2 linked regions of the Diceros bicornis minor genome follow. The protein of the gene in region 2 interacts with the protein of the main gene of each other region in a pairwise test. Links are inferred from orthologs where the notes say so. Each region holds a gene or a part of one and is shown on either strand. Other genes may lie near its edges. The genes, in order: LAIR1 and PTPN6.

Region 1 (15,489 bases), on a different chromosome or scaffold from region 2:
CTGTGTCTCTGGAAACAAGTGCTGCATGTTCTCTCCAATAAGCTAGTTGATTAAAGGGGGTACCACATGGTTAATGAATCTCCTAGATGTTGATTAGGGGTCTCCAGACTCCAGCTCTTGCCTCCAGGAGAATTGACTGGATGACTTTCCAGAAAAGGATGATTCCACAGGGTAGCCCTCCAAATGGCCACTTCAGGCTTTTGCAAGAGTGACTTGCTGTGTCTTTAGGTGCAGAGGCCAGGTGGGCCTGGGGTCAGTGTCTGGCAAGGGTTGCATATGTGCTGGACTCAGCCGTGGGCTCCGTGGACTGTGGGGTCATGGCTTGGGCCGCTCTCTGTGTGAGCATCCGGTGGTCCAGCTGCGCATATGTCACCTCCTGCAGGCCTCCTGCAGCAGAGGTCTGGGGGAGAGAGACCCAGGGTGAGTCTGGGTGGCTGAGGTGGGGGTAGGAGGCTGTGGGAAGGGAAGACTGTAGTAGTCAGCCTCCAGGTGGCCCCCATGGTCTACTTCCTGGAATCATCATTTGTAGTCCCCTCCTAGATAGAATCAGGGTTGGTCTGTGGGACCCCACAGAATATGGCAGAAGAGGGCACATCACCTCCAAGGTGAGGCCACAAAAGACATTGTAGCTTTTCCCCTTCCCTCTCTGGGATCCCTCATTCTAGGGGAGGCTGGCTGCCATGAAGAAGCCCATGTGGTGGGGAAATGAAGCCCCCTGCCCACAGCCGTGGGAGTGAGCCATCTTGGAAGTGGATCTTCCAGCCCCAGTCGAGGCTTCAGATGAATGCAGCCCTGGTCAACGTCTTGACAGCAACCTCATGAGAGACCATGAGTCAGAACCACCCAGCTAATCCACTTTCTAATTCCTGACCAAAGAAACTGAGATAATTTTGTTAAGCTGTTAAATTTGGTGTTGTTTTGTTACACAGCAGTAGGTAACTACCACAAGGACTTACTGAGTTGTGCATTTTCCTGTCCTTCTCAGCAAGACTATCGACTGTGGCCAGATCTGGAGGGGAGAGGACAAGTGGTCAGTTCTCTGGGGTGGACCTTAGAAGGCAAATTTGCCTGAAACCTCACAGATTCAGATTTCATCCCACACCCCAGCTAGGACACCCCAGAATGTTCTCAAACATTCTCCCTCCCCCCATTGCTTCCTGAATGGCACCAAGTCCTCACTTCCCCTCTCCCAGGCCTGTCCCCTCTCTTCATATTTACCTGGTGTCCTCTCTAGGATGTCAGCATCTGGGCTGAGCCTGAGTGGAAAGAACGAGTGAGCACTGGGGGGCAGCCTGGAGGCAGAGGACTGGGAGGGGGTCGGGGGCTCATTCTCAGGGGCCTCACCTCTCTTGGGGCCTCTGCTCCTTGCCTCTGCTGCTGGGGAGCCCTGAGGACAGTCAGAGGTGTGAATTAAGAAGAGAGGCCCTCTTCCCAGCACCCCAAACAGCCTGCCCAGCTCACCCCACCCTCTCCCTGAGACCTACCAAGTTTTTTCTGATGCTGACGATGGAGGAAGAAGATGACCAGGAGGAAGAGACAAATGAGAAAGGCCACAGAGACCCCAATGAGAATATAAATATATTCTGTCGACAGGCCTGGGGGAGCATGGAAGATGAAATCAGATTATCAGCAGCATGCATTTATTTAGCACCTACTGCATACCACACATATGCTGGGTGCTTATATATAAAATCTCTCACATGCGTAACAGACTTGCAACATGGGAATCGTTATCCCCAATTTACAAAACCGGGGTCCTGAATGCTGAATTCTTCTGTCCACAGGGCATCAGCAGAGCTGGAATATGATCAATACTAAAGGCCATTCTTTCCCCCTTCCCAAGAGGCACACACCAGGTCCATGCTCCTCTGTTCCCACCACTTATGGCAATTGTCACCATCATACGAACTTGTCTGTGTGATTCCTAGGAATGAGGAATCAGGAGGACGTGGGTCAGAGGCCTGAGCTGGACAGGGAAGACTGAGTCTCCGGGACCCCTCAAGGGATCTTCCTTGCTTCTGGGACTTCCACCTGCTCCCTCTAGAGCAGCACTGCCCAGTGGAACTTTCCGTGAGGATGGAAACGTTCTACGTCCGTGCTGTCCCCTATGGTCCCACACGGGACTGTTTCCATGGAAATAGAAGTTAAATAAATTTAAAATCAGATCCTCAGCTGCAGCAGCCACATTACAAGGGCTCAGTGGCCACACCTGGGTAATGACATCCTCACTGGATGGCGCAGATATACAGCACTTCCTTCCCACCGGAGGTTGTATGGAACAGCGCTGCTCTCCGCCCTTTGGCACCTGTATAGAGACCACACCCGGGAGGAACAGGGAGCTGGGACCTCCCCATGATGACCTCCTTGTGGGCTCCCACCCAAGCGCAGGAATCCCCATCTCTGATTTCTGTTTCTCACAGCAGACCCTGATGGGGGAGGAACCACCGTTCTGTGCTAGAAGCAGCCAAGAGCCCGTGTCCCCGTGTTGCCTGAAGCCCTGCAGGTAGCGGGCGAATCCATCGCATCAGCCACGGTCTAAGCTTGGCGCATGCGCTGTAGGTCCACCACCTCCTTTACAGTTCACCGCCTCTGGGCGGTGCGCCTCGCCGCTCCTTTCACAGGTGGTCAAAGTGAGGTCCTGCTGGGCTCGTCCACCCACAGGGTGTGAGCCCCCATGTCCCCTCTTCTGGACAGCACCTCCACCCTTCCCGCTGCTTCAGAGGCTGAGTCCTCGATGTCCTTTAAGAAAGGAAGAAAACCACCTCCCTGGGCGTCCTTCCCTCAACCCCTTGTGCACCGTCCACCATCCAGGACCCCACCCTCTGTTCTCACCATCCCTGCCCGTCCTTCCGTTTATGATATTTACCACAATTTAAAATTGTATATATATGCAATATATGTATAATATATATTACAATGCATTTATATATGTATTACATTTTATGTAAATATATTTAATATATTATATTATTATTTTTGTATTTTATATTAATGATATTATTAATTATTATTATTAATTATTTATTAATTATTAATTTATATATTATATTTATTAATATAGTAATATATTAATACATTGTAATATATTGTGTAAAATGTTTAATATGTAATAATTATAATAAATATATATTTAAAATTATGCGATTTAATGTATATATGTAAATTTAAATTGTATAAATATTTTAAATTATATATAATTTAAAAGTACTTATACTATATGTTATATATAATATATAAATTATATATATTTATTATATAATACATGGTACATCTTTATGTTAACATTTACATATATATTAATTTTAGTAATACATAATATACTGTATATCATTATATAATATATATTACATTCTATACTCATTTTAATAATATATTGTGTTTTGTTATACTACTTATATATTTAATATATAATGTAAATACATACTTGAATATAAATTATAGATCTGAAATTTTACATTGTAAATTATATATTTAGGTAAGCACATGTGTACGTATGTGCATTTCTTTCGTGCTTTCTAATTAATTCTCCCCAGCAAAGTTTGGGAAGCGGGACCATTTCTCTTCCTCCACCACGTGCATCAGTCCCGCATTAGGTCGGTGTGTGGCACATATGAAGTGAGAAGAAAATATTTGCTCCATGTTAACACGAGCAGCACTTCTTCCGACTGTCCCATTCGGCAGGCACTGATTTAAGCCCCGTGCCCTGGGTATGTGTACTCCTGCATCCTCTAAACAGCACTGCAGTCCGTGCATTTATTGCACATTTTGCACAGGAGAAAACTAGGACATAGAAGATGTTGGCGGTTCACCTGTGGGCACAGAGCTGGGGACTGGCAGGGCTGGAATCTTAACCCTGAACCCTGCAGTCTGGCCATTGGGATTCTGCCCTGAATCTTTAGTCTTCACCACATGAAAAATGGGAGAGAGAGAGAGAAGGACAGGGGGAAAGAGACAGACACAGACAGAAAGAGACATTTGCTCTGTGCCCCCCATCCCAGCAGAGTCAGAGCTCTCTGAGAAGAGATCTCTCTTCCTCTTGATGATCTTACATCGTTGTTCGGCCGTAACTATCAACAGATCACATTCTCTCCCATAGTATCTGATTTTGCAAGGTGAGCTATCAGTCCCTCTGTCCCTCTGTCCCTCTGTGTTTTGCAGAGCCGGGCCAACAGTAGGACCCTGACCACAAGGGGACAGTGCAGAGCTGCGGCCAAACCTTGAGGTCTGGGGTCTGGCTGCCCTGGGCTACCCTGCCCCTTCAGAGCCTTGTTCCTGTGGCAAGAAATTTTAACTTTGTTTCTATATATTAAAAGGGGGGGGCTCTTAGAAGATGAGGGGAGCACCTCCCACATTGGGCTGTGGTTGGCAATAACTGCTTTCACAGAGCCTGGCATGGGGTTTGTTCAATCATGGTCATTATGAATATTGATGACACCCCAGTGCCCTGCAGGTGTCAGCCCCTTGCTATGGTCTTACCACTCCCTAATCCAAGCCCACGGCAGGGAGTTGGGCCGTGGAGCCTGATCCCCAGCACAGAGCCCTGCAGAAACCCCTCCAGGCTGAGGTCTCTACTCTCCAGCTGAGGGCTGTGTGGGCTGGGAACTGATATCTCCAGGGGCTCCTGTGACAGAGGCAGGAGAAGGGCTGATGTCCCACTCAGCCTGGCCCCTCTCTACCCTGAGCATCCATCCCCAGACACTCATCATCAGTCCCAGACAACATGCTGAGATTCCCGAGGAAATGGGGCAGGGGCACAGGAGACAAGGGAGAGCCCTCCCGCTCCACTCTCTGGGGGTGGTCACTGTTCTGCTCCTCACACACTGTGCTCTCCTTGACCTCATGGAACTGGCACAGAGCAGCTCCTCTGAGGCCCCAGGAAGACATGGAGGAGGATCTGAGTGTCCCTGATGGACCCTGAGTCCAGGATGTCACGGGAGCTGACCACACACAGGGACAGGGACAGCCTCATCCCAAAGGTTCCCCAAAGCACCATCCAGCCCAGGTCAGGGTGCCCTGGACCATGTGACTTGCCCAATGGAGGATGGACCACACCACAGGGGACACATGGGGCCCTGGGGTCCCACAGATTCTGATCAAGTGGAAAGCATGGTTTAACATCATTCTGAGAAAAAACACACATTCTCTTGAAGCGGATCTGTCCTGCACCCAGTCTTTGGAAGCTCATTCCCCACCCAGCCTAACAGGGCCAGCTCCGTGCCCACCCCAATGATAAGGCTGAGTGTCCAGGCCATTGTGGTGTCCAGATGGGACCAGGGCTCCAGGTATATGAGCTGAGTGTGAAGGCAGAGGGACACATGTGCAGAGGGGGAAAGGGAGGTTAGCAGGAGGGGAGGGTAGCCTGTGGACAGAGGTCCAACTGGGGACAGGATCCAGGGTCCTGGGGACAAACCTGAGGGCAGAGTGGAGACGTCCTCCTCTGTCACCTCCAGCTCCAGAATGTTACTGTGCTTAGACCAGCTGAACTTTCCATGATAGAGGCAGCGATAACGCCCAGCAGAGTCGTCACTCACTGCAGTGATGGGGAATCTGGCCTCTGTCCCATGTGGATCAAGTTGGGACACTGTGTGCTGATCCCTGTAGGAGCGTCTATCCTCCTTCTCCAGGCGGAATGACTTAGCCCCATCAGGGCCCCGACACACGATGGTCACAGGCTGCCCTCGAGGGATCACAGGGCCTGGCTCAGCAGAGATGGAGGGTGTAGGCAGGGCCCCTGGAGGGAAGCAGAGCAGGATCTCAAGATCCACTTGTGAGGAAATCACCATGTCACACAATTCATCCACTTTAAGTGTACACTTCAATTTTTTTCGCAAATGCAGAGTTGTGCAACCATCACCACAAGCCAGTTTCAGAACATTTCAACATCCTCACAAAAGACACCTCCATGTCCATTCTCCCTGCATGTGAATTCTCATCACTGTAGTGTTATCTTCCCCACTTGATGTAAGGATCCGAGACTTGGTCCCATCTTGCTTAGGGTGACCCGGGAAGTGTCAGAGCAGGCTGTGGGCCGGCATCTCTGCTGCAGAGCCCTCCCTCCCTGTGCATGACCACTTTCTAGGGGGACAGAGAGGGCTGGGATGGAGGCAGAGGATGGGAATGACCAGGTCATTTGTGGGGACAAGGGAAGCCAGAGTCTGGAGTAGGTAGGAATGATCTGGCCGGGTCTGAAGGACAGCTGATCAGTCCCAGGTGGGATTGTGGGGGACCGGGAGCACAGTATGAAGGTTCCAGTGAAGGTCCAGTGGGGGTGTGGCAGAGCCCCAGCACAGATCTGGTCACACAGCCCCCAGTGGATGCGGATTCCTGTCTCCAATGTAAGTCCTCTGTGAAGCGCTCCTCTCTGAGTTTTCTCTGTATTTTCTACCCTCCTCTCAGCCTTACTTCCATTTCCTGTTATTGAGGCTGGTGGAAAACCCCATCTGTCTCAACTAATCTGGGGCAAGGGGAAGAGAGTGTTTGTAGCCCTGAAACAGGAAGGTGACGTCAAAATTAGCAAAATCGGTGATAGAGGCAGGGAGCTGGCAGAGGTTTATCAATCATTCATTCGCCCATTCTTTCTTTCTTTCATCCAAGTCTTAGTTCCTATCTGTCCTCTTACAGACGCCTCCACTTGCCAGTAGTTCAACAAATATGAAAAACACACACATGATCTCCGCTTTCTCATGGGTGAAAATCTAGAGGAAGGACAGATGTTGATCGAATAATTGCACAAATCTGCAGCTACAAACTGTGATGTGTGCCCTGGGGGTGAGTGTGGGAACCTAGGGGAGAAGATGGGAGGCAGGGCTGACCTCATCTGGGCAGTTGGAGGAGGCATCTAAACTGAGATGGGAGGGTCAACATGAATTACCCGAGCTGAGCGATAGGGGACGCCAGGGCATTCAACCTGGAGGAATCAGCATGTCAGGAGGTCCAGAGCTGAGTGGAAATGTGGCGTGTTTGAGAAAGTGAAAGAAAGGTGAAGTTTCTGGAGATAAGGGAACCAGAGGGCGTGGGGACAGACAGATTCAGACCAAGAGAGATGCAGGGCTCTCATTCTATCTGCAGATAAACTGTGGGAGGACTCTAAAAAATTAATATTTTGCCTGAAAATATACGAAAAAATGCAAACAAAACTTTAAAATTATCATTTGAAAATCATATCCCTGGGTGATATGTTGACTATAGCAGGATGAAGAAGATGGGATCAAGGATGTATTCTCAGATTCTGCCCTTGGCGACCGTTGTGTTCTCTGCCCGGGGAATGCTGAGGAAGGTCTAGGCTTGTGTGGGGAGAGCTCACAGATTTGAATAGTCTTTGTGGGGCTGTCAGAGCACAGGTGGAGAACAGGGAGAGATTGGGGTTGTTTGCAATTGAGGGCATATTGCAGGGCCTTCCCCCAGGCCCTCCCAGGATCAGGACCACTCCCATCTAGAGCTGCCTTTGGGGTGCGGAGGGATTGCGGAGGAGACTCACCATCCTGCACGTGGGTCATCTGGCTCAGACAGAGCACTGGAAGAGAAATCGTAGTGAGAAAAACGTCCACCACCCCGTTTCCTCCCAGGGCTGCTATCAAGGGGATTTGAGCGAGCCAGGGGGGTCAGCCTCTTATAATTTCCAAACCACCCCTCCTCAACATGACATCTGAGTGCAATCTTTCTTCTTGCTCTGAAATAGTCTCAAGACAAATCCCCCATCCCCTCTTCCAAATAGATACTCCTCTCTTCCAGCCCTTCTCAGAGTCTGAACTCATCTCCACACCTGGGTACCCACTTCTAGGACTGAATCTTCTGTGGTCAGACTTGAGGTCTGGGCCAAAGCTGAGGGAGGAAGACTCCAGGGGGTGGGGAGGACCACCTTCTCCCCCAGGGTCCCAGAGTCTCCTGGACCAGAGTCAGGACTGAGCAGGAAAGCAGACCCCCTCCCCAAGGCTCCCACTCCCTCTGTGCCTGGAATCCAGTGCCCCCATTCCAGGACTCACCGAGGCCCAGGAGGCTGGTGCGATGGGGAGACATGGCCCAGGCCACGAGCCTGTGCCGTCCTGGAGCCAATGGGAGGAAGGATAGAGCCTACAGCAGACACAAGGGGACAGGATGTGCTGGCCGGGGGGCCCTGTCATGGGGTTTCTACATCAACGGCCTCACGAAAAGGGGAAGTGCTCTCTCCCCTGTCCTCTCCACAATTCCTGCTAATGAAACGGGGGAGGGCCTTGGCTTCCAAAAAGATGTTTTCTTCCCCTCCATGCTCAGATGAGGCTCAACTCATCTCCCCATGAATGCCTTGAGGTGTGAACCTCATTCTCAATCTATGGGACAAGGTAGAACATAGATTTGTGCACGAACTGACTTGAATGTCAGTCCAAACTCCACAAACTCACATTCTGTTCTCGAGCAAGGCGTTGCACCATTTTATGCTGATGTTTCCTCATATTTAAAATGGAAAGCCTAACATCCTCACCAAGCATTTAATATCACAATAAATGTTAAATTCCCAGCAGGATATTTAATGCATTAAAAATATCCTACTAACATGAATTCTCTTTCCATCTTCCCCCAGTGGCAGTGGAATTGGGAAAGCATAGGGTGGCCCATCCGCATACGTGCAATCCTAAAGAGATGGAATGATCAGGAGACAGACCTTGGGGTTGGGGCCAGATGTGGGACCCAGCTGGGTGCAGAAACAAAGAGCAGGATAGGGATGGGGAAGGCGCTTGTGCATCACGGAGCCCAGTAGGACCCAAACTTCCATTGTGGGTACTCATGTCCACTGCCTCTGAGGACAGAAAAGAGCTGCTCCTCCCAGGGGTCGCTGTAGCAGGCATTGGTGGTGATCTACACAGCAGCCATTGCTCACTTTTTCCTTAGTAACTGAAACCTGGTTCTGTTCGAGTGGCTATGTTCCATGTTTGGGGCCAAGAGGATGAAGTTTGGGTTAAGGCAATCTAGCAATCCCATTTGCAGTGATTGGTCCAGAACGGGGTACATGACCGTGTATGAACAACAATACTTAAAACAGAGTATACCACGGTTTCTGGAAATCATATTTCTCCCTTAATAACAGAGCGTCTCATAAGGTCATTGCCCCTTTTACTGCTGTCCTTCATTGGCAGCTATATCATGATGATGTGATATTTGGAGCTGCAGCAGCTGTCTTGCAACCATGAGGCAAGAAGCTTGACCACAACGGGGGAAATACTGAGCAAACTGAGGTGGAAGAATACAAGATTCAGTGTTCTTAGAAGGTTCTTGAATTGCTAAACCAACCCTGGGATGGCCTATCCTTGGAATTCTTAAAAAGTAAACAATAAATATCCTAGATTTTCTGTCAAAATATCAGACTAAATCTATGGAACAACACTCCATCTTAAAATACAATAATTATTTAAAAAATGAAAACTGCTTAATACAATATTTTAAAGGTCTTCTTAAATGCCTCAAAGCAGTGAAAACTAAGTGAAGGCTATGGAATCAAAAATTAAAGGAAGATGAGGTTCCCCACAGTCAAGCTGAATGCTGACCTGGCTCTCACCTTGATGGTGATGAATTAACTTTTATTTTCATGGCCTTGCAGACTGTAGAGGTTAAAGGATGAAGCCCAGGGATCACCCCAGTTAAGAAGTCTAGGGAGACAATCCCCTTGCTAAGCTGGACCAAAAGCTTCCACTTTATGAGTGAATTAAAATTACTCACCCATTTCTGAGGGCTGCAAAGAATACATGTTTTGATACTCAACATTAAACAAGAGGCCAAAAATACTGTTCCTGAGAAATGACTAACACCAGCCACCCTCCATACCTGTATCTTTCTGGTCTTTTTCTCTGTGTGTGTGCTTCTGTGGATCTCTCTCTCTCTTACTCTCTGGATATCTCTTCCTCTCTTTTCTCAGCTTTTCCATCTCTAGTGGCTCCCTGTCCCCATTCCTCACAGCCCTGCTCCTTGGTCCTTTTATGGTCATATCCATCCCCCAAGCTGTGCTTGATGGAAAGGGCTGACCCCTAAGGCTGCCTTTCCCATTTGCCCCTGTGAGCTGGCCGGGCTATTTCTCAACCTTCCTTCACATCCAAGACCCAGACAACTGTATCTGCCTCATGACTCGAGTTCCTGCCAGACATGATTCCAGATTTTGTAGGGTCACCTGGAACCCTCAGCTCCAGGAGCATTGCCTGCTCTGCATGGAACTGTAGCTCCCTGCACCTGCTCCTCCCAGCTCTCCTTCATTTGGGTAATGGCTTCTATGCATTAAATTCTCCTCCTTTCTCTTTTTTTAGGCCTTCATTAGTGGTTTTTATTTTGTAGTTGTTGTTGTTGTTTATTGCAGTAACATTGGTTCATAACATTCTATAAATTTCAGGTGTACATCATTACACTTCTATTTCTGCATGGATTACATCATGTTCAGCACCAAAATACTAATTACAACCCATCACCACACACATGTGCTGAATTATCCCTTTCGCCCTCTTCCCTGCCCCCTTCCCCTCTGGTAACCACCAATCCAATCTCTGTCTCTATGTGTTTGTTTATTGTTGTTATTATCTACTACTTAATGAAGGAAATCATACAGTATTTGACCTTCTCCCTCTGACTTTTTTCACTTTGCATAATACCCTCAATGTCCATCCATGTTGTCACAAATGGCTGGATTTCATCATTTCTTATGGCTGAGTAGTATTCCATTGTGTATATATACCACACCTTCTTTATCCATTCTCCCTTGATGGGCACTTAAGTTGCTTCCAAGTCTTGGCTATTGTGAATAACGCTGCAATGAACACAGGGGTGCATGTATCTTTACACATTGGTGTTTTCAGGATCTTTGGATAAATACCCAGCAGTGGAATAGCTGGACCATATGGTAGCTCTAGCCTTGACTTTTTGAGGAATCTCCATACTGTTTTCCATAGTGGCTGCACCAGTTTGCACTCCCACCAGCAGTGTATGAGAGTTCCCTTCTCTCCACATCCTCTCCAACACATGTTGTTTCCTGTCTTCTTAATTATAGCCATTCTGACAGGCGTGAGGTGATATCTCATTGTAGTTTTGATTTGCATTTCCCTGATAGTTAATGATTTTGAACATATTTCCATGTGTCTGTTGGCTATCTGTATATCTTCTTTGGAGAAATGTCTGTTCAGGTCTTTTGCCCATTTTTTAATTGGGTTGGTAGTTTTTTTGTTGTTGAGATGCATGAGTTCTTTATATATTTTGGAGGTTAAGCCCTTATCAGATGTATGGTTTGCAAATATCTTCTCCCCGTTGTTAGGTTGTCTTTTCCTTTTGTTGATGGTTTCCTTTGCTGTGCAGAAGATTTTTAGTTTGATGTAGTCCCATTTGTTTATTTTTTCTATTGTTTCTCTTGCCCGGTCAGACATGGTGCTTGAAAATATGTTGCTAAGACCGATGTCGAAGAGCGTACTGCCTATGTTTTCTTCTAGAAGTTTCATAGTTTCAGGTCTTACATTCAAGTCTTTAATCCATTTGGAGTTAATTTTTGTGTATGGTGTAAGGTAAGGGTCTACTTTCACTTTTTTGCATGTGGCTATCCAGTTTTCCCAACACTATTTGTTGAAGAGACTTTCTTTTCTCCATTGTATGTTCTTGGCTCCTTTGTCAAAGATTAGCTGTCCATAGATGTGTGGGTTTATTTCTGGGCTTTCGATTCTATTCCATTGATCTGTGTGTCTGTTTTTGTGCCAGTACCATGCTGTTTTGGTTACTATAGCTTTGTAGTATATTTTGAAATCAGGGAGCGTGATACCTCCAGCTTTGTTCTTTTTTCTCAGGATTCCTTTACCTATTTGGGGTCTTTTGTTGTTCCATATAAATTTTAGGATTCTTTGTTCTATTTCTGTGAAAAATGTTGTTGGAACTTTGATAGGGATTGCATTGCATCTATAGATTGCTTTAGGAAGTATGGACATCTTAACTATGTTAATTCTTCCAATCCAAGAGCACGGAATATCTTTCCATTTCTTTGTGTCTTCTTCAATTTCTTTCAGCAATGTTTTATAGTTTTCGGTGTACAGATCTTTCACCTCTTTGGTTAAGTTTTTTCCTAGGTATTTTATTCTTTTTGTTGCAATTGTAAATGGGATGGTATTCTTAATTTCTCTTTCTGCTACTTCGTTGTTAGTGTATAGACATGCAACTGATTTTTGTATGTTGATTTTGTATCCTGCAACTTTACCATATTCGTTTATTACTTCTAAATGTTTTCTGGTGGATTCTTTAGGGTTTTCTATATATAAAATCATGTCATCTGAAAATAGTGACAGTTTCACTTCTTCCTTTCCAATTTGGATCCCTTTTATTTCTTTCTCTTGCCTGATTGCTCTGGCTAGGACTTCCAGTACTATGTTAAATAAGAGTGGTGAGAGTGGGCATCCTTGTCTGGTTCCTGTTCTTAGAGGGATAGCTTTCAGTTTTTCACCATTGAGGATGATATTAGCTGTGGGTTTCTCATATATGGTCTTTATTATGTTGAGATACTTTCCTTCTATCCCCATTTTATTCAGAGTTTTTATCATAAATGGATGCTGTATCTTGTCAAATGCTTTCTCTGCATCTATTGAGATGATCGTGTGATTTTTATTCTTCATTTTATTAATGTGGTGTATCACGTTGATTGATTTGCGAATGTTAAACCTCATTAGTGGTTTTTAATCAGCTTTATTGAGAAATAATTTACATACAACAAACTGCATCCACAAATATGTCCAATTCATTGAGCTCTGACCGTTGTGACACCACCATCATAGTCAAGAATTGCATCACCATCAAAAGATTCCTTGTGTCCCTTTGCTCCCAGGTGACCACTGATCTTATTTTCTTTTTGGAAAATATTTATTTGTTCCCTAACTTATTTTTTAAACAAACTTACCTTGAAATAGTTTTAGATTTAGTTCCAAAGATGCAGCAAGATTCCATACGCCCTTCATCCAGTTTCCCCTTAGGTAAGTATTTTACATAACCATGGTACATCTGTCAAAACCAAGCAATTAACATTGCTGCAATCACTAACTAAACTACAGACTTTATTTGAATTTTATATGTTTTTATCACTAATGTTCTTTTCCTATCCCAGGATCCAATTCAGAATACCATATTGCATTTGATTCTCTCTTTCTTTTAAATAAGTAGAAGAGTTTCTGTTTCCCTGGTTGGATCTTAATTAACATTCCCATTGTGCCTGAAGAGCGTATGCCCATGGAAGACATGGGGGCAGGCTGACTACTTGGAAAGGCAATGGCTGAAAGAATCAGCATCTATAGCTTCCTCCACCTACTAAGTTCATCGGGTCCAGCAGGGTGGTTATTCTGGACTTTTCCTTAAGGAAGGGGATGCAGAGCTGTCATCCCTCACTACCCTTGTAAAGGCCCTGAACCTTTGCATTCTTCTAAGACTCAGGTCTCTAACTGGAGAAGATTTGTGTCCAAAGCTTACTTCAGGATGAGCATAGAACCTCTTCCTCAAACAAAACCTTTACTTGGGGTACTCCACAAATAGTGAATAATACATTCGGATATATACACAACATTTGCAAATTAAATATAAACTTAATGTCAGATGCAAAGGCAAAATCTACATAAATAAAATGACATATAATGCAACATGAAGTATTAATGAAAGATGAGTTTGGAGAAAAAACAGAGAGTGGAATTGTGGTTACCAGCAGCTAGGGGGTGGGGGAATGGTAGAGATGTTGTTCAAGGGTACATAATTGCAACTAGTAGACAAATAAGTCCTGGAGATATAATCTGCAGGACAGCGATTATAAACAACAAAACTGTATTCTAAACATTACATCTGCTGAGAGTAGATCTTAATTGTTTCCACCGCTAGAAGAAATGATGATCATGTGAGGCAATAGAGGTGTTAGCTAAGCTGCAGCAGTAATCATATTGTAATATAAATGTATCAAATCAATATGTTGTACACTTTAAACTTACACAATGTTATATGTCAACTATATCTCAAAAAAAAAAAAAAGATGAGTTTGCATCAAAATAGTTGAAATATTCCAAAACTACTACCTGGTCACTCCATGTTCATCAGTCCTCCTCCTGGGCCTGTGATGGGGTAATACTACCTGGTCACTCCATGTTCATCAGTCCTCCTCCTGGGCCTGTGATGGGGTAATGACCTACAGTTGACTCTCATGGACTGACCAGCGTCCTCCAGCTGGATCCTGGTCCTCAGAGAGTGCTGCTTGTTGCAGCCTTGGGTCTTTCCCTCATTACACAGAGTACCCAATAAGATCTCAAAGACCCCCATTTCTGAGCATCCCCAGTTTGGCTCAGCAAACACAGAGTGTCTGCTGTGGGGGGTCTACGGAACCGAATCTGAGCCTAGAATGCCCCGGGGTGTCGAGGCATCCTTTCTGTTTCCGGAAGACTCAACCTCAAAGCCCTGCCCAAGTCATCCGCATTAGCCCACACCCCTGCGCTCCACTTCTCCTGCCTAGGACCCTTGGAGTTCAGCCAAGAAAGCAGCTTGGGGCGGGGTGGACTCACCCACTTCCATCCCAGTCCTCTGGCCCTGATGCAAAGATGTTCCTGCTGCACCTGAGGCCAAATAAAACTGAAAATGCACAGGATGTAGTGGTCTAGGCACCAACAGTTTACATCGTCTACAACTTAGCAACCATGCATACAAATGAGCGGTTTTCTCGCTACTCTGTTTGGGTCTCTGATCTTCCCCAGGTTGGAACTGAGAAAAGAACAGAGATTCCTGAAAATTTTCTACAGGAGACTCAAGTCTATATTAGCAACGCTCACCCCCTAATTAGTGCCTGACATGAATTGCATCTCTGCACCAAGCCACGTATCCAAAGTGGTCACGATTTGGTTTTTCCAAATGCTACACGCATATCAAAGCTTTTAAAAGAATCTTTTGCTTTCCTACTTTCCTTAACTACAAAGTTTTATTATTATTATTATATGTAATATTCCTTTATCGACTAAATATGAAAGTACATTACTCTTGTAAAAAGAAGTTCAAAATATACAAATTCAAATGATTATTCCAACTAGAATTCTGACTCAGTACCATTTATAAAGCCATTAACTTTCTCTCATGAAGGTCAATGAGTTACTGAATGTATCTTGGCATTCCATATAATTGGCAATATATAATATGTATAGAAACTATTTTTAAAATCCTCTTATTCATTGGCCAAATGAGATTTCTCTCTCTCCTTCTGTCTCTCTGTCTCTCTCCCTCCCTTTCTTCCTCTTGCTTGCTCACTTTTCCTCCTCCCCCTTTCTAAACTTTATTTTTCTTAAAAACAGCCCTATAGTCCTAAACTCTTGGATTAATACAATTCTCACTTTACTTAACCTTACACTCAGCAGTGAGCCAGCCAGCTCAACCAGTCTCCTGACGCCCGACTGTGGATATGTCTCCCCAGTTTCACCTTCGGGATGCCACTTTTGTAGCTTGAAATTAGCCCCGGTGAGAGTATTTACGCCACAGAAATTGGCAAACGCT
Region 2 (15,135 bases):
GGACCGACAGAGAGCTGGAGCAGGCCCACCCGGCGTTCATGTGCTTTTTAAAGGACTCAGATCCCTGTCTCGCCCTCAGCCTGCGGGGGCTGGTTTTGGGGCACGGTCCCCGCGGGGCCGCTCGGGCAGCTCACAGGGGCTGAGCGCACGCTGCCTCTGCACCCGGCAGGTTCAACAAACACCTGGACCGCGGCTTTAACTCGTGCGCGCGCAGCGACCTGTACTTCGTGCCGCTGGAGGGCTCCAAGCTGGCCAAGAAGCGGGCCGACCTGGTGGAGAAGGTGCGGCGGGAGGCCGAGCAGCGCGCGCGCGAAGAAAAGGAGCGCGAGCGCGAGCGGGAACGCGAGAAGGAGCGCGAGCGCGAGAAGGAGCGCGAGCTGGAGCGTAGCGTGGTGAGTGCGTCACCGCGTGCGCCGCCCTCTTTCTGGCCCGCCTGCCCGCCCGCCCTCTGCGCCGCGCAGGGAGGCTCGAGGGGTGGGGGCGTCATCGCGCCACCTGTCAGAGAGGAGGAACCACTGCATCCCAGGAGATGGAGACTAAAGGATTCCAGCGGGAGGGACCAGTGCGTTCCTGGGTTGGGGGAAGGCAAGCTCAGGTCAGACTACCTGTGGATCGTAGGGAGAGCCAATATCCACGAGAAGAGGGTAGCGAAGTTCCTGGAAAGCTGAGTGCCAATAATGTCAGGCATTTTGGCATTCAGCTGATGAGACAAATGAGCAGCTCAGGACCAGCCACCTCTCTCCAGATCTGCCCTTTTGAGTCCGCTTCTCTCTGTATCCCACAGAAGTTGGCTCAGGAGGGCCGTGCTCCAGTGGAGTGCCCATCTCTCGGCCCAGTGCCCCATCGCCCTCCATTTGAGCCGGGCAGTGCTGTGGCTACAGTGCCCCCCTACCTGGGTCCTGACACTCCGGCCCTGCGCACTCTCAGTGAATACGCCCGGCCCCACGTCATGTCTCCTGGCAATCGCAACCATCCATTCTACGTGCCCCTGGGGGCGGTGGACCCGGGGCTCCTGGGTTACAATGTCCCGGCGCTGTACAGCAGTGACCCAGCAGCCCGGGAGAGGGAGCGGGAAGCCCGTGAACGAGACCTCCGTGACCGCCTCAAGCCTGGCTTCGAGGTGAAGCCCAGTGAGCTGGAACCCCTGCACGGGGTCCCTGGGCCAGGCCTGGATCCCTTCCCTCGACATGGGGGCCTGGCTCTGCAGCCTGGCCCACCTGGCCTGCACCCTTTCCCCTTTCATCCGAGCCTGGGGCCCCTGGAGAGAGAACGACTAGCGCTGGCGGCTGGGCCAGCCCTGCGGCCTGATATGTCGTACGCTGAGCGTCTGGCAGCTGAGAGGCAGCACGCAGAACGGGTGGCAGCCCTGGGCAATGACCCGTTGGCCCGGCTGCAGATGCTCAATGTGACCCCCCATCACCACCAGCACTCCCACATCCACTCCCACCTGCACCTCCACCAGCAGGATGCCATCCATGCAGGTGAGACTTCGACTTCTTTGCCTTGGCCTCTTGGGGCCACCTTGCCCCCTGGCAAATGATTGGGCTCTTCTGTTCCTGAGGCCAAGACGTCCCTCCCTAAGTGTGGCACGAGCCTCTCTCCTGAGATTGCTGCCCACATCTTTGCCTTCCTGTCATCTGCCAGCCTGTCTCCTCATGCCCTAAACTCGCTACAGAGACTATAATTTTCCACCCCTCGGCTCTCTTCCAACTCTAGCAGCCCACTCGTGATAAAGACCCAGCTGGAAACCTTGGAAGGAACAACACTTTTATACCCTCACAGCCCCTCTCCCCGAGCCCTTCTCATACCCATTTTCTTGCTTGTCTGGATTTGACTCTTGTTGTTTCTTGCCATCTTCTCTTCTCCTCCCAGGTGGAGGTCTTTCATGTTCCACCCCATCTCTAGATCTGTGACCTTCCAGAAAGAGCCCTGTGGCTTTGCTTGTGGGGGTCATAGGTGATATGAGCTTTCCTTACTATCCTTTCACCATATTTCTCATTGTCCAGAACACTGCCCAGTCTAACCTTACAAACACGTTCATTCCAGGCTCTCTTGTGCTTTCTCTCTTAATCTCCTTTCTCCTCCTGTCTCATTTCCCAAACTTTCTATCCTCTTCCATCTCCTCCAAGCAGTGCACTTCTTTCTTTCCTTTTTCTCAGACCCCTCTGACAACTGTAATTTGTCCTCTGCCATCCATGTGTCCTACTCCAGTAGGGTCTTGTCCTGTCCATCCCCCAGGCCCCCAGTTCTTCCATTGTGCCTCCTTCTTCCATTCTGGATCTCCCTGTTTTTGATTGTCCATCTCTCTTCCCAGGCTTGGCTCCCTTCACCCAAATGCATGCTTTTCCCCCAATTCTGCCTTCTGGTGACACCTTCCTCCTCTCTGCCCTCCAGCGTCTGCCTCGGTGCACCCTCTCATTGACCCCCTGGCCTCAGGGTCTCACCTTACCCGGATCCCCTACCCAGCCGGGACCCTCCCCAACCCCCTTCTTCCTCACCCTCTGCACGAGAATGAAGTTCTTCGTCACCAGCTCTTTGGTAAGGATGGAGGTTGGAGGTGGGGAGGGTCTAGTGAAAGAAGGGCAGAAAGGAGGAATTTGGGTGAGATTGGCCTAGTTGGGCTTGGGGAGGGATGAGGAGGTGCCCAGAGGAACCAGGATGGAAGTAGGAGGGCTGAGGCCCTGCCCAAGAGAGGCATAGGTTTTAGTGCCAGGCTAAGAGGTTTGAATTCTAACTCCCCCACTGGCAACTTGCAGGACTGGCTGTTTCCTAACCTTTTTAGTCTCAGTTTCCTCTGTATGTAAAGTGGCTGGCTCTCCCCTGGCCCAGAGTAAGTATCTGTACCCCATCAGTCATGTGCCTCCTGCTCTTTCTGCCCACAGCTACTCCTTACCGGGACCTGCCAGCCTCCCTCTCTGCCCCGATGTCAGCAGCTCACCAGCTGCAGGCCATGCACGCGCAGTCAGCTGAGCTGCAGCGCTTGGCGCTAGAGCAGCAGCAGTGGCTACATGCCCATCACCCGCTGCACAGCGTGCCCCTACCTGCCCAGGAGGACTACTACAGGTACTACGACACCCCTTGGCAGGGAGTGAGGGGATGCAAGCTCAGCTGGCCTGGCAGCTGGCAGGGTGTGGGCATGGTCCAGCTGGGCACTAGGCTCCTGGGGGAGGGAGACCTGGCCCTTCTCTTCCACCATCCCCCTCTGTGAGAGGGGCCAGGTCAGGGTCGACCTCAGTCTCTCCTCTCTCTGCTCTGTACCCCCTCTCCCCTAGTCACCTGAAGAAGGAAAGCGACAAGCCGCTGTAGAACCTGCGATCAAGAGCACCCATGGCCCCTGCATCTGGACCTTGGAGGCCTCCTTCCAGGCCTGCCACCCAGAGCCGAGGAGGGGTGCTGCTCAGTTGAAGGGCCTCGCAGCTGAGCAGAGGGAGGGAGGAAGGGACAGATGGAAGTCCAAGGCTCCTGTGGTGTGTGGCGGTGGGGAGGTAGTGGGGGTGGGGGCAGAAAGCGCACAGTATCTTGGACCAGGTCCTTCTCCCTTGTCCCCCTGCTTTCTTCCTCCCCCATGCCCAACCCCCAGTGGCCACCACCCCTCCCCCACCCCGTTGGTGTGATTATTTCATCTGTTAGATGTGGCTGTTTTGCGTAGCATCGTGTGCCGCCCCTGCCCCTCCTCAGTCCCTGTGTGTGCGCGCCCCCTCTGCGATGTATGTCCCTTGCCCCTCCCCCACATTAATAATTTATATATATAAATATCTATATGACGCTCTTTAAAAAACATCCCAACCAAAAACAACCAAACAAAAACATCCTCACGACTCCCCAGGAAGATGGCTGTGACTGGTTCTTTGCGGGCTATGGTGGTGGGCTTGGGATGGGGGCTGGGGTCTCTGCGCAGGGGTCCCTGGAGAGGAAGCTGTGGAACCGGAGAGGCTGGCAGGGAAGTGGGAAGGGACGGACCTTCTGAAGGCACTGAGTGTAGGGACCCTGGAGAGTTGGAGACGGGATCTCAGAAGAGCCCGGGGCCCTGGAGCCCTGGCTTCCTAGTGGGGGTCCTCCCGGTGCCAATCCCCTCCTTCCTGCCAAGGCTGGGAAATGGAGATGCTGGAGGCCTGGGACAGGCACGCTTCGGACGTGGTCGGGTCTGAGAACGTTTTTGCAACTGGTCCCACGGCTAGGAGCCACCAGAGTCCTGAATCCTTTCCGTGGAATGGCTAGAGAAACGGTTATGAGGCGGAGGGGCAGGGGCCGTAGTTTCGGTGGGTTAAAGCGATTGGAATCCTATGGTTTGAGGAAGGAGCGAGTGACAACTTCAAGCTTAGAAAAGAAATTAGAGGGCGTACCGCTGCAGCGAACATGGCATCACAAGGCCATTTTAGGAAAGCGCGAGAGGTACTCTAGCTCCAAGCTTTTACTGCTGCGAGTCACTGTCTCCGTTCTTAAAAACTAAAGGGGTGTGACTGGCTTCTTTCTCAGCCAATCAGCATCGGTCTCATTTGCATAGAGCCTTAACAAACGTTCACAAACTCCAGAAATCAATGATATGAGTAAGTTCCTTAGAATACTGCTTTTCCTTCTGAAAGTTACACTGTGCCTCGTTGCTTATACAGTAGGAATTAGAAGAACCCCGTTCTGAGCTCACCCTCACCGATAGTGGAGTTCCTGGCTGTGCCGCCTTCTCTCCAGGCCTTTCTTTTTAGTGTTACAGCTCTTTTAGAATTTGTCTAGTAGGTTTTCTGGTTGTTACTGGAAAACCCCGTCACCGCTCGTTTTGAACAATAGAGTTAGTTGAAATGGGGTGGTGTCTACTTGTCGCTAGTACTGGAGTATTAGAAATTCGCATTTAGTGGTTTTGCCGTTGCCAGGAAGTCCCAGCAGGGAGACCAGCGCTACGCGGAGAGGCTTCCGGCTACGCTGATGCGCTTCCCCTCCGCCCGCATCCCCGAGAGCCGCTGCAAGAGAACCCTCTTTTTCTTTGAGCGTTAAGTTGGTTCCGCCGCACGTGCGGTTTTTGTTGCCGTATGGCGTCCGCCTCGGCCCAGCCCGCGGCCCTGAGCGCCGAACAGGCCAAGGGTGAGAAGCATGCTCGTCACAGGGTGGGCGGGCTGCCTGCGCAAGGAGGGTGCAGGCGGAGGATACGGAGCGAGAGCTGTGGTTGCATCGCCGGAGAACGGGGGCGAGGGGTACCGTCCTTACTCTTCCAAGAGGTGGTTCTTGTCTACTAGAGCGAGGGATTCGGGAGTCGAATTTGTCGGGTTACTATGGCTTCAGTCCACTAATTAATTCCTTGCCCTCTTCCCTGCGCTCTTGGCTGGGCCCGCCGGCCATGCTCCGACGCCTATCCCGGACGCCTCCCTGGGATGCATCTGCGGCACAGTGGTCCTGGCCGAGGTAATCCAGGCGTTCTCGGCCCCAGAGAACGCCGTGCGCATGGACGAGGCTCGGGACAACGCGTGCAACGACATGGGCAAGATGCTGCAATTCGTGCTGCCCGTGGCCACGCAGATTCAGCAGGAGGTTATCAAAGCCTATGGTTTCAGCTGCGACGGGGAAGGTGGGTCGCACGGAGGTCGGGGAGAGGGCGCTGTATCCGTCGGGTCCCTGAGCCGTCGTCGTCCTTCTCGCCACACGGCGGCAGTCACCATCTGACTATTAGCACTCAGAGCCCAGGGTCTACTCCGAACTTGTGCCAGGCGATGCCCCAGGTGCGTTTTGTCGTTACCGTAAGTGGTGATATGGTTATCCCATGTTAGGATGAGGAAACAGACTCTAGCAGTAAACTAAGTGCCCGAGGTCACAGCAGAGCTGGACCTGAACCCCTTCTGAGAGCTTTTAGTGATATGTCTGCGTGTCAGTGGGCTTCTGCAGCCCATCCAAGGTGTTTCAGCTAATCTCTGTTTGAGGGTCAGCAGTTCAATTCCGTTGAGATCATGGTGTTCCCCAAGGATGTTGTTTGACTCAGCCCAGCTGGCCCAGGGCCCTCATGTGTCCTGGTTATATAGACTTGGGATCTCATGGGTGTTCATACTTGTGGTTCTTGTGACTAAATTGCTAAAATGGTTCACCTGATAGTGAGAAGCGCACTGCTTGGGATATCTTCGTTAATTGCATCCTATCCAGTTGTGCCTGGTGTAGACCAGGAAGTGGTTGATCCGAACCACACAGGGTAGGGACCTGCATGTGTCTTGTGTTTTGCAGACAGCTACCTGGCCAGAGGAGGCGCAGCCAGTGACTCATGCTCCAGCTGCTCCCCCCTGCCATCTTGGGCACACCCGTCCCTTTGGGGTGTGGGCTGACGCTCCACTCCCCCTTGCAGGTGTCCTCAAGTTTGCCCGCTTGGTCAAGTCGTATGAAGCCCAGGATCCTGAGATTGCCAGCCTGTCAGGCAAGCTGAAGGCACTGTTCCTGCCCCCTATGACACTGCCACCCCACGGGCCTGCTGCAGGTGGCAGCGTGGCCGCCTCCTGAGGGTTGGCTCTCCCGTGTGACACTGCCTGGGAAGGGAAGATGTTGGTGTTCCAGAGGATAATAAACCTGCCTGTGACTTAGCCTCCGTGTCAGTCTTTTGTGACCCTGACAACCCCCACCTCCTGGCCCCAGATTCCCTCTGCCATTCCAGGCTGCTCCATTTCCCTGTCCAGATCCTTCCTATGCTCCTGTGGGGCCCAACCCTCCTCCAAGACAGGGTGGGAGGATGCAGGTCCCTCAAAATGCTGGGTGAGTGGGTCTGCACAGGTGGCACCTCCTCTGAGGAGTGGGGTTTCCTGGCTTTTCCTGAGGCCTTTTGGCTTCTGTGCATGGAGAGACTCCCCCATTGGTTTGTGTTCCCTTGGCCAGGGTTACTTCCTGGTCTTTGCTTCCACCCGCCCTCCCTCTGTCAGCTTGAGCGCCAGGTGGAGCTCCAGGTGGCTCCTCCCATCCCAAGGGAGGGAGGCCCTGGACAGGCAGGCGGGCCCTGGACTACCGAGCAGGGCTGGAGGGAGAAGCAGGCTGCTGTAGGCTGTGTGAGGCCAGTCCCGCCCCACCTGTCCCTTTTCCGGGGATCATTAGTCCTGGGGCTTGTCCCTGCAGTGCTATTGGCCTAGCGGTCAGCTTCGAGGAGGAAGTGGCCGAGTTCCGAGCGTTCTTCCTCACCTGGTTTGGGCCACTGTGCACAGCTGTGCCCCTGGCTCAGCCCCGCCCCTTGTGGCCCTCTGATTGCGACTTCCCCATCTCTCTGGGGAGATGCTGTCCCGTGGGTAAGTCCCCCGCTCCACCTGGGTACCACAGTCTCCTGTTACTTTGGGAGGGAGAGGCGGGGCTCATGCTCACTTTTAACAGGTGTGAGACTATGAGTGCAATCTGCTGCTGCCTCCTGCCCTGGGTCTGCTTCCTGTCTCTACATACTGCTTCCCCCCAAGATGTGAGGAATCCCAGGCTGATTCATGCCTCTCTGCCCCACCGCTCCTTTTCTCTAGGACTTTCCCCTGACAGATGTGTATTTATTCTCACCATTGCATTTCTCCCTTGCTTCTGTCGTCTGCTTAGGACCTGTGCCCCTGGGTAGCCCACGTCACCTGAAACAGGGTGTCTGAAATGCAAACCTGAGAAAGCTCCCTGTTCCCACATGACTTCCCATCTGGCCTCCGCTCCTCTTTCTCTCGGTTTCCTGTCACTTCCCCTCCCCTGCATCATTCATTCAACACATACATGCCGAGCATCTGTTACAGGCCAGGTACTTTTTAAGGTGCTGACAATACTGTAGCAAACAAGGTGGACATGGTCCCTGCTTTCACGGAGCTTCGTTCCAGTGCGAGGTGACAGACTACACAAGGAACCCAATTAATAGGATCATTTCTCAGAAGTGTTATGCAGAAAATGAAACAGTTTCATGTGCTAGTGAGTGACAGTGTGCCGCTGGCATCACTAGCTGGAGCGGTCAGGGAGGGCTTTCCTGAGAAGGTGATGCGGGAGCTGAGACCTGGATGATGAGGAAGAGTCAGCCATGTGGTGATAGTCACGTGCCCCTGGGCGGAGGGAGTGGCGAGTGCAAAGGCCCTGCAGTGGGAACAAAAGAGACAAGAACAGCGCCTGCCGCAGAGTAAACCAGCGGAGAGGGAACAGGGACAGGCAGTTAGGCCTTGCTGGAGTTTGCATCTTACAGTGAAGACCAGCTTGGGGTGTTGGTGTTTGTGGGTTGGTCTCCCCAAGTCCTGCTGGTTCTTCTCACACGTCTGCCCTTCCGGTTTGCACTGCTGCCCCCAGTGCACACCTCGTCACCCTCAGCCCCCTGACAGGGCTCTCATTGAGTCTTCTGGTCCCTCATCCTTCCCACACTCCTGCCACGGCTGTTTTCCTACCAGGTAGCTGGCAAGGCTTCTCCCGGTGCAGAGTCCTTCCTTGGTTCCTCAGCCTGGCCTTGTAAGACCCTTTGCAGCAGGTGCCAGCCTCTCTGAGCAGCTTTGCTCCAGCCATGCCACTCTGCTCACACCCCAGCATGGCTCAGGTGGCCCTGTGCCTGCCCGCTCGGGGCCTTTGCAGAGGCTGCCTCTGTGGGAACACCAGCCCCTCCGCTTCCATCGTGGGCTGTGCCGGTGCCCTCTGCCCCATCCCCCCGCACTGCAGCCTCCAGCGGCGCGGTTGGTGTGGTGGAGACGGCAATAGGCCCTGGCATCAGACAGCCTTGATTTGTCCACCTTCCCACTCACTTGTGACCTTGTGCAAGTTGCTTAACTTCTCTGAGCCTTAGTTTTTGTTTCTAAAATTAGGCTAAGACCTACCGAATAGGGTTGGCATGTGGATTAATAATGTAAAGTAGGGCCGGCCCCGTGGCTTAGCGGTTAAGTGCGCGCGCTCCGCTGCTGGCGGCCTGGGTTCGGATCCCGGGCGCGCACAGACGCACCGCTTCTCCGGCCATGCTGGGGCCGCGTCCCACATACAGCAGCTGGAAGGCTGTGCAACTATGACATACAACTATCTACTGGGGCTTTGGGGGGAAAATAAATAAATAAATAAAATCTTTAAAAAAAAAAATGTAAAGTAAAAGCTGTTGGCACTTAAACCCTACTACTAAACATTAGCTTTTTACATCAGTATTTGGGAAATACTCTTAAGTCCGTTTATCAGGTGGGGATACGAGGCTCCGGGAAGTTCATAATTTTCTAGAAATTATTTCACTTTGTTTGCTCTTCCAGACCACCTATCTTTCTGTATCACCATTGATCTCTATCTCGACCTTTATCTCCCTGCTTCCCAGGTGAATTTTCTCTTCCGAATGATTGGTTGCTTGCTTTTGTAATTCTCAGCCTCCTTGAGCCTGTTTTCCTCCGTTAAACAATAATTCCTACTTCACAGGGATGTCTGAGGCCCAATGGGGTTGTGTGTTTGCAAGTCCTCTGCAAACTCCAGAGCACTTATGTCAAGGGGAGGTGGAGGGGAGGTGGTTACGATTCATTTTTCTGTCAAGGGACAGCAGAGACTGTATATCTTATCCTAGTGTTTGTCTGTCTTCCAGCTTGACTACTTGGCTTCAGAGAAATTCCTGCCTCTTCCATGGGTCAGGAGTTTCTGGGTGCCTGGTTAGTTTCTTCCTGCCAAGTCAGTTTAAACCCCGGAAGGAGAGAGGCCTGTGGCCAGGGTGCAGCAGATGTTTAGTGCCGAGCACGGACCTGCAGTTTCGTGTGTGGTCAGGGTGGTGTGAACGTGTGTGGGTGTTTGCACCGGACCAGGTATGTGTGTAGATGGGCATGGATGATGAGGTGCATGTGGTGGGACCATGTGCCTAAATGGAGGCTTGTATGTGCGTGTATGTGTACTCATCTATATGTGACAAGCAGCGTGTGCAAGTGTAGGACCAGGAGGCTGGACTTGTGACCACATATGTGAACGGGTATTGATGAGCTTGTTTATCAGACATGTACTCCGTGAGAAGCGTGCTCAGCTTTGAACATTCGGAGGCGAGCAAGACTAGCAGCAACTAGAGCAAAGGGCTCTTCCTGCCCCTCGCTGTGAGGGTGTTCATGGTCCTTCAGGGTGGCCGTCCAAGACTGCAGGGGTAGTCAGTGTTAGACCATGCAATAAACAGGCCAAGCAAGTTCCCCAGGGCACCGGAAGGGAGGAGGAGCTCTTTTTAGGGGGGAAAATTGACGTTTGATGTTTCAAAAGATGATAAAGTAGTCATCATAGGAAAAATACACTTTCATTGGGCTTTAACATTTTGTTATTTTTTCCTTATTTTTAATTGAGGTATAGCATACATAAGGTGCATGAATATTAAGAATACAGCCTGATGAATGTCACACTTATACACACCCGTGTATACACCACCCAGATCAAGATTTAGAGCAGTCCCAGCACCTCAGATGTTTCCCAGAAATTGCCATCTCCCAGTCAATTTACTTATTTTTATAACAGCAATACATGCCCATGCTACAACGTTCAAAAAAGTATGAGGGAGAAGTAAACGTCTCTCCCAGCCCTCTCCTCCGGCCACCAGGCCTCCCTCTCTAGGGAAGCCACCAGTGTGAGTTTCTTGTGTCTCCCTGGTGGGGCTTCTTTCCTCTTGTTTTGGCTTGGCAGTGTTTGTGTTGTATGGGGATGACACACTGGGTACATCATAAGCTTTTAGTGTTTAGGGCCTCTCCAGGTCAACCAGCCCTGAGAATATCAGCCGTGGCCGGGACCTCGGCCCCAGCCTCCAGCCCCCAGGAGACATGCCCCTGGTCAGTCCTGGCTGACTCAGACCAGACCCACTTGGCAAGAACCTACAGCTCAGGCACAGGTGGCCCGACCCAAGGGGGCGGGCGGCTCTATCCCCATCTGCTTTCCTCCCATTCTGTTCCTTGGCTCTGACTACACGGTTAGGGCAGGGCGGGGCAAGGGCCTAGAGACAAGAAGTTGAAAAGTGCGAGTTTGACAGGGCTGTGCAGGGGTCATTTTGTCCATCCCTCTGCCCCAGTGGCACCTGTGCAGTGTGTTTGTCAGGAGAGGCAAGGGCGCCCCTCACTTTGTCAGCATCTGCACGGCCTTGGCTATTAGGAGTCTCCCCCTCCCACTGCAGCCCCAATGGCCGAGGAGCCTCCCAACCTCTGTCCTTGAAGCCCCGAGGGCTGGCATGTGGTAGCTAAAATCACAGGCTTTGGAACCAGACCGTCCGGGTTTGCATCCCGGCACTGCCACTTACTGACTGCATGACCTCCGGCCACTTCTCTACCCTCCCTGAGCATCACGTTCCTCATCTGTAAAGTGAGGATAAAACCTTGTCTGTAAAGTGAGGATAAAGATGGTACCTGCTCCATAGGGCTGTTGTGAGGGATAAGGCAGACAGGGCACGTAGACAACCTTTTAGTACAGTGCCTGGCATACTGAGACTCCATCAAATGACAGTCGTCACTGTCACCATTATTAGTAGCTTGGACCAGGGAAGGCTGTGTGGAAGCAGCTGGAGGAGGAGGAAGAGATGGCATGTGACTGTGCAGGTTCACGTGTAGGAAGCATGAGGGTGCTCCTTGCCTGGAGGGTGCAAGGCACACGTGTCCTTATTTCGTGTGTTGTCACGTTTGCGGAGGGCCACGCTCCTGAAGCCTCTGACGGCAGACGTGTGGGAAGTGCGCCCCGTCCCCACCCCCACTGCCACCCCGCTCTGCTTGTCTTCGCTCTGCTCTAAAACGAGAAGTACAAGTGAGTTCCCCCAAGGGGTCGGCCGCGCCCCTTCCTGTCCCCGCCCTGCCGGGTGCCCCAGGCCACTGGAGTGGCAGCCCCATAACCAGGACCGCGGGGTGGTGAGGTGGCCTGGGCGCTGAGAGCTGAGAGCCCTGTTGGAGGCTTAGCCCCCGAGTTCTCTGCCTGCCCCAACCCGCTGGCAACACCTCGTTCCTTGTACCCCTTCCTCTCGGGGAGCCCCAAGGATGGTGAGGTAAGGGCCTGGGACCCATGGTAGGCAGGAGGCGAGGATGCCCTGGGGGCCGTGGGACCTCTCCTTACTGCCCTCCCGGCCTCCCAGGTGGTTTCACCGAGATCTCAGTGGGCTGGATGCAGAGACCCTGCTCAAGGGCCGAGGTGTACACGGGAGCTTCCTGGCTCGGCCCAGCCGCAAGAACCAGGGCGACTTCTCCCTTTCCGTCAGGTAGGTGGCCTCCAACTCCCACCAGGGCCCGTATTTTGGCAGCTCATCCCCGGTTCCCTCGTGGCAGTGCCAACTTCCCATCCCCAGCCCGAGCATGTCCCCTGTCCCTGTCTGTGTCCACCCCATCCCTGTGTGTGCCCCACACTCAGGACCTCAGCCCAGCCCCCACCCCATGCCCACCCCTACTCCTGCACCCACTGGCCTCACTGCCTGGTACCCTGCAGGGTGGGGGATCAGGTGACCCATATTCGGATCCAGAACTCAGGAGATTTCTACGACTTGTATGGAGGGGAGAAGTTTGCGACGCTGACGGAGCTGGTGGAGTACTACACACAGCAGCAGGGCGTCCTGCAGGACCGTGATGGCACCATCATCCACCTCAAGTACCCGCTTAACTGCTCTGACCCCACCAGTGAGAGGTGAGGGCCTTCGCACCCTGACCTACCCCCACGCAGAGCGGGCTGGCCTCCACCCCTCGCTGTCAATGCGTCCCCATCCCCGCTCCTTCCCAGGGCTCTGTGGGTCTCTTTCCTCCATGTGATCCTGGGGCCCGGGTCTCAGGGGACTAACTTCCCTCCCCTTTCCATCAACCCTTGAGGAAGCAAGAGAAGGTCACCTCGCCCTTCTCCGGGGTCCCTGTCAGCTGGCAACCCAGGCCCTGCTAGTGACCGTGTTTTATAGCAGGCCAGCTCTGTTATTAGAAAGCTCTTCTTCCTTCTATGGAACTGAATCTGCCTTCCTGTAACTTTTCCTCCCCCAGTACAGGTTAATACGGAGAGAGGTTGGTGTTGGGGAGGAGCATAGGGACTAACGCTGATGAGGACGCTTAATGCCTTATCTCAGCAACCCAGCGAGGATTGTCTGCCCTCTGGGGCTGGGTAGAGCTTGACTAGTCCCTGGACCAGAACACAGATCATTGAAAACTGTGTGATGTGGTCACGTGTGTAAGGGGCCTAGTACCTGGGCACAGGGTAATACTCAAGGCATTTCCCTCCCATCCCTTTGGCTCCAGAGATGTGGTCCCCAGAACTGGGCTGGCTACTCCCCATGTGGTCTCCCTAAAGCATGGGCGGGGGGGTGGGGGGACCTGAACACTCAGCTTTACATGGAGGCTCATTTTAGCGGCTGCATCTCAAAGACAGCTCCTGCTAAGGTGAAGGGCAGCTGAATAATTCCATGGGCCTTTTTCATACTCCTGGGGCCAAGCCAACTCTCCCTTGTCTGATATTAGCGTATTGATTATTGAAATGATTCTGAACCTGATTCTGTCCGTTTTCAGTCTTTCTGAGAGGCATGCCTCCCAACTTGTCTCAGTATTTTTGTTCAAGCCAAGATTAAAACTTAGCACTGGGTGAGGCTTAGGTAAAGGCTGTGTGGCCCACCACTGGAGATCTCCTTCCAGTCAACATGAAGCCACTGATCCACTTCCTTTGAAGCCACCTCCTGTAGGAGTAAAGCCCAAGTGTTGGTGACTTTGCTCATGGTGCTCCTCCTTAGTACTTTCTTGCCCTTTTCCTATGCCCACCTGCACACTCATGGAGGTTTGCCACCCAGACCCTCTTGAACTCCTCACGTCCTCTCCCTCCTTACACTCAGCCAGGGTCTGCTCTGCTGGGAGAGAATGGGTTGACCCAGACCCTAGAGAAGCAGTAGCTTGTGGATGGAGCTGGAAGAGGGAAGGAGGAGCTGAACAGACCTCCCTGGGGAGCAGCCTGAGGCCTGGGATCAAACTGCTTGGGAGTGCAGGAGAAGGGCAGAGCTGGGGCTGGGGGTGGTGGGTCAAGGAGAGAGAGAATCAAGACCAGGGAAGCTGACTCTAAGAGGCCCTTTTGATGACCCACGCCAGGATGCCTGGCTCACCCCTGACCCTGGGAGGCTGTGTGGGAGGCTCTTTCTCCAAACCTCCCTTTGTGTTCCCTGCTTGGCTGCTGCCCTTCCTCCTCTGAGGGAATTTGCATTTGTCCCTCAATGGCTAGCTCTCTGCCTGTGGTCAGCCTGGCATTTGCATGGAAACTTCCTCATCCTGGGCCCTGGGGGAAGAGGGTTAGCCCCCTCCCCATTGCCCAGGGGCCCTGGCCTACCCCTGAGTGGTAGGATGGGCTGGCCCAGGGGGCACCTGGACAGGGCAGGAGGCTCTGGAGGTCGCCTCTGGGCAGGAGTGAGAGGGGGCAGGACAGACTGGCCCCCTCCCTCCTTCCCCCATCCCTGCGGTTGGAAAATGCCCCCCCTCCCCTGGTCCCTGGGCTGAGGAAACCTCACAACCTCACTTCTCACTCTCTCCCCAGAAGGAGTTTTGTGTTTTTTCCATCACGTGGTTTCCTGTGGGGCTGGGCATTGTGGGGCTACAGTTTCCTCCTGGGAAGGGGGTGTGCTTTGGGGAAAGGTCCTAGTTCTGCTTTCTGCCCCTTTGAGCCCCTCTGAGCCCCGGCCTCCCCTTTAGTGATGTCATCCTGGGCACCCCAAAGCCCCCCAAATCACTCTTTCCCCAGTGGGGTTGTCTGTCTTCCCTACCACCCTGGGGAGTTCTCCCCATCATGCCTCCCTTGTGACTTCCGTCTCTCCCCAGCTCCATTGCTCTCTGTGGATTAGCTTCTGTCTGTGTATCTCTTGATCTCCGTTCTCTTTCCCAAGCCTAGCCCTGTCCTTCATGGAGACCTTGCCTCGGTTTCTCCCCTCCAGATAGCCTTGATATGGCCTGCCTTTCTGCCTTTGACTTAACTTTCAGAGGTGGGTCTGGTTAGAACTCCTGAGGCCTGCCTCTTATCAGCAAGGGCCTTGGGCCAGCGTGTAATCACCCAGCCTCAGTTTCCTCATCTGTAAAGTGGGGATAGTACCTACCTCTCAGCATTTTGTGAGAGTAATGGACCTAAATATGGTGGTAGATTTGAAAGCATCTAGCACAGTCCCTGGTACATTGTAGATACTCAATTTCTCTGCCCCCTGTGAGTGTCTCTTCTTAGTGCCTGCCCCTTGGCCTAGGTCTCACCTTCCGTGTTGCTGCCTTCTCCAGGTGGTACCACGGTCACATGTCC

What was found.
Region 1: the proteins of PTPN6 (region 2) and LAIR1 interact in binary tests that used the Homo sapiens proteins (3 or more experiments, as listed by UniProt). The link is inferred for Diceros bicornis minor from reciprocal best matches to the Homo sapiens genes PTPN6 and LAIR1.

What each region holds. Positions count from the first base shown.
Region 1 is NC_080773.1:32,124,962-32,140,450, reverse strand, and holds the start of LAIR1 (leukocyte-associated immunoglobulin-like receptor 1), read right to left. Parts: upstream 8,187-15,489; 5' UTR 8,017-8,186; coding exon 7,983-8,016; intron 7,514-7,982; coding exon 7,478-7,513; intron 5,732-7,477; coding exon 5,411-5,731; intron 1,596-5,410; coding exon 1,485-1,595; intron 1,388-1,484; coding exon 1,345-1,387; intron 1,257-1,344; coding exon 1,219-1,256; intron 1,010-1,218; coding exon 957-1,009; intron 401-956; coding exon 254-400; 3' UTR 1-253. UniProt on the Homo sapiens protein: Functions as an inhibitory receptor that plays a constitutive negative regulatory role on cytolytic function of natural killer (NK) cells, B-cells and T-cells.
Region 2 is NC_080756.1:54,817,096-54,832,230, reverse strand, and holds the start of PTPN6 (tyrosine-protein phosphatase non-receptor type 6), read left to right. Parts: upstream 1-6,993; 5' UTR 6,994-7,224; coding exon 7,225-7,238; intron 7,239-11,695; exon of another isoform or gene 11,696-11,885; coding exon of another isoform or gene 11,886-11,893; intron 11,894-11,980; coding exon 11,981-12,103; intron 12,104-12,327; coding exon 12,328-12,522; intron 12,523-15,113; coding exon 15,114-15,135. Other genes in the region: ATN1 (atrophin-1), read left to right, coding at 170-392, 785-1,481, 2,395-2,538, 2,883-3,063, 3,273-3,306; C17H12orf57 (protein C10), read left to right, coding at 5,022-5,073, 5,378-5,554, 6,317-6,468. UniProt on the Homo sapiens protein: Tyrosine phosphatase enzyme that plays important roles in controlling immune signaling pathways and fundamental physiological processes such as hematopoiesis.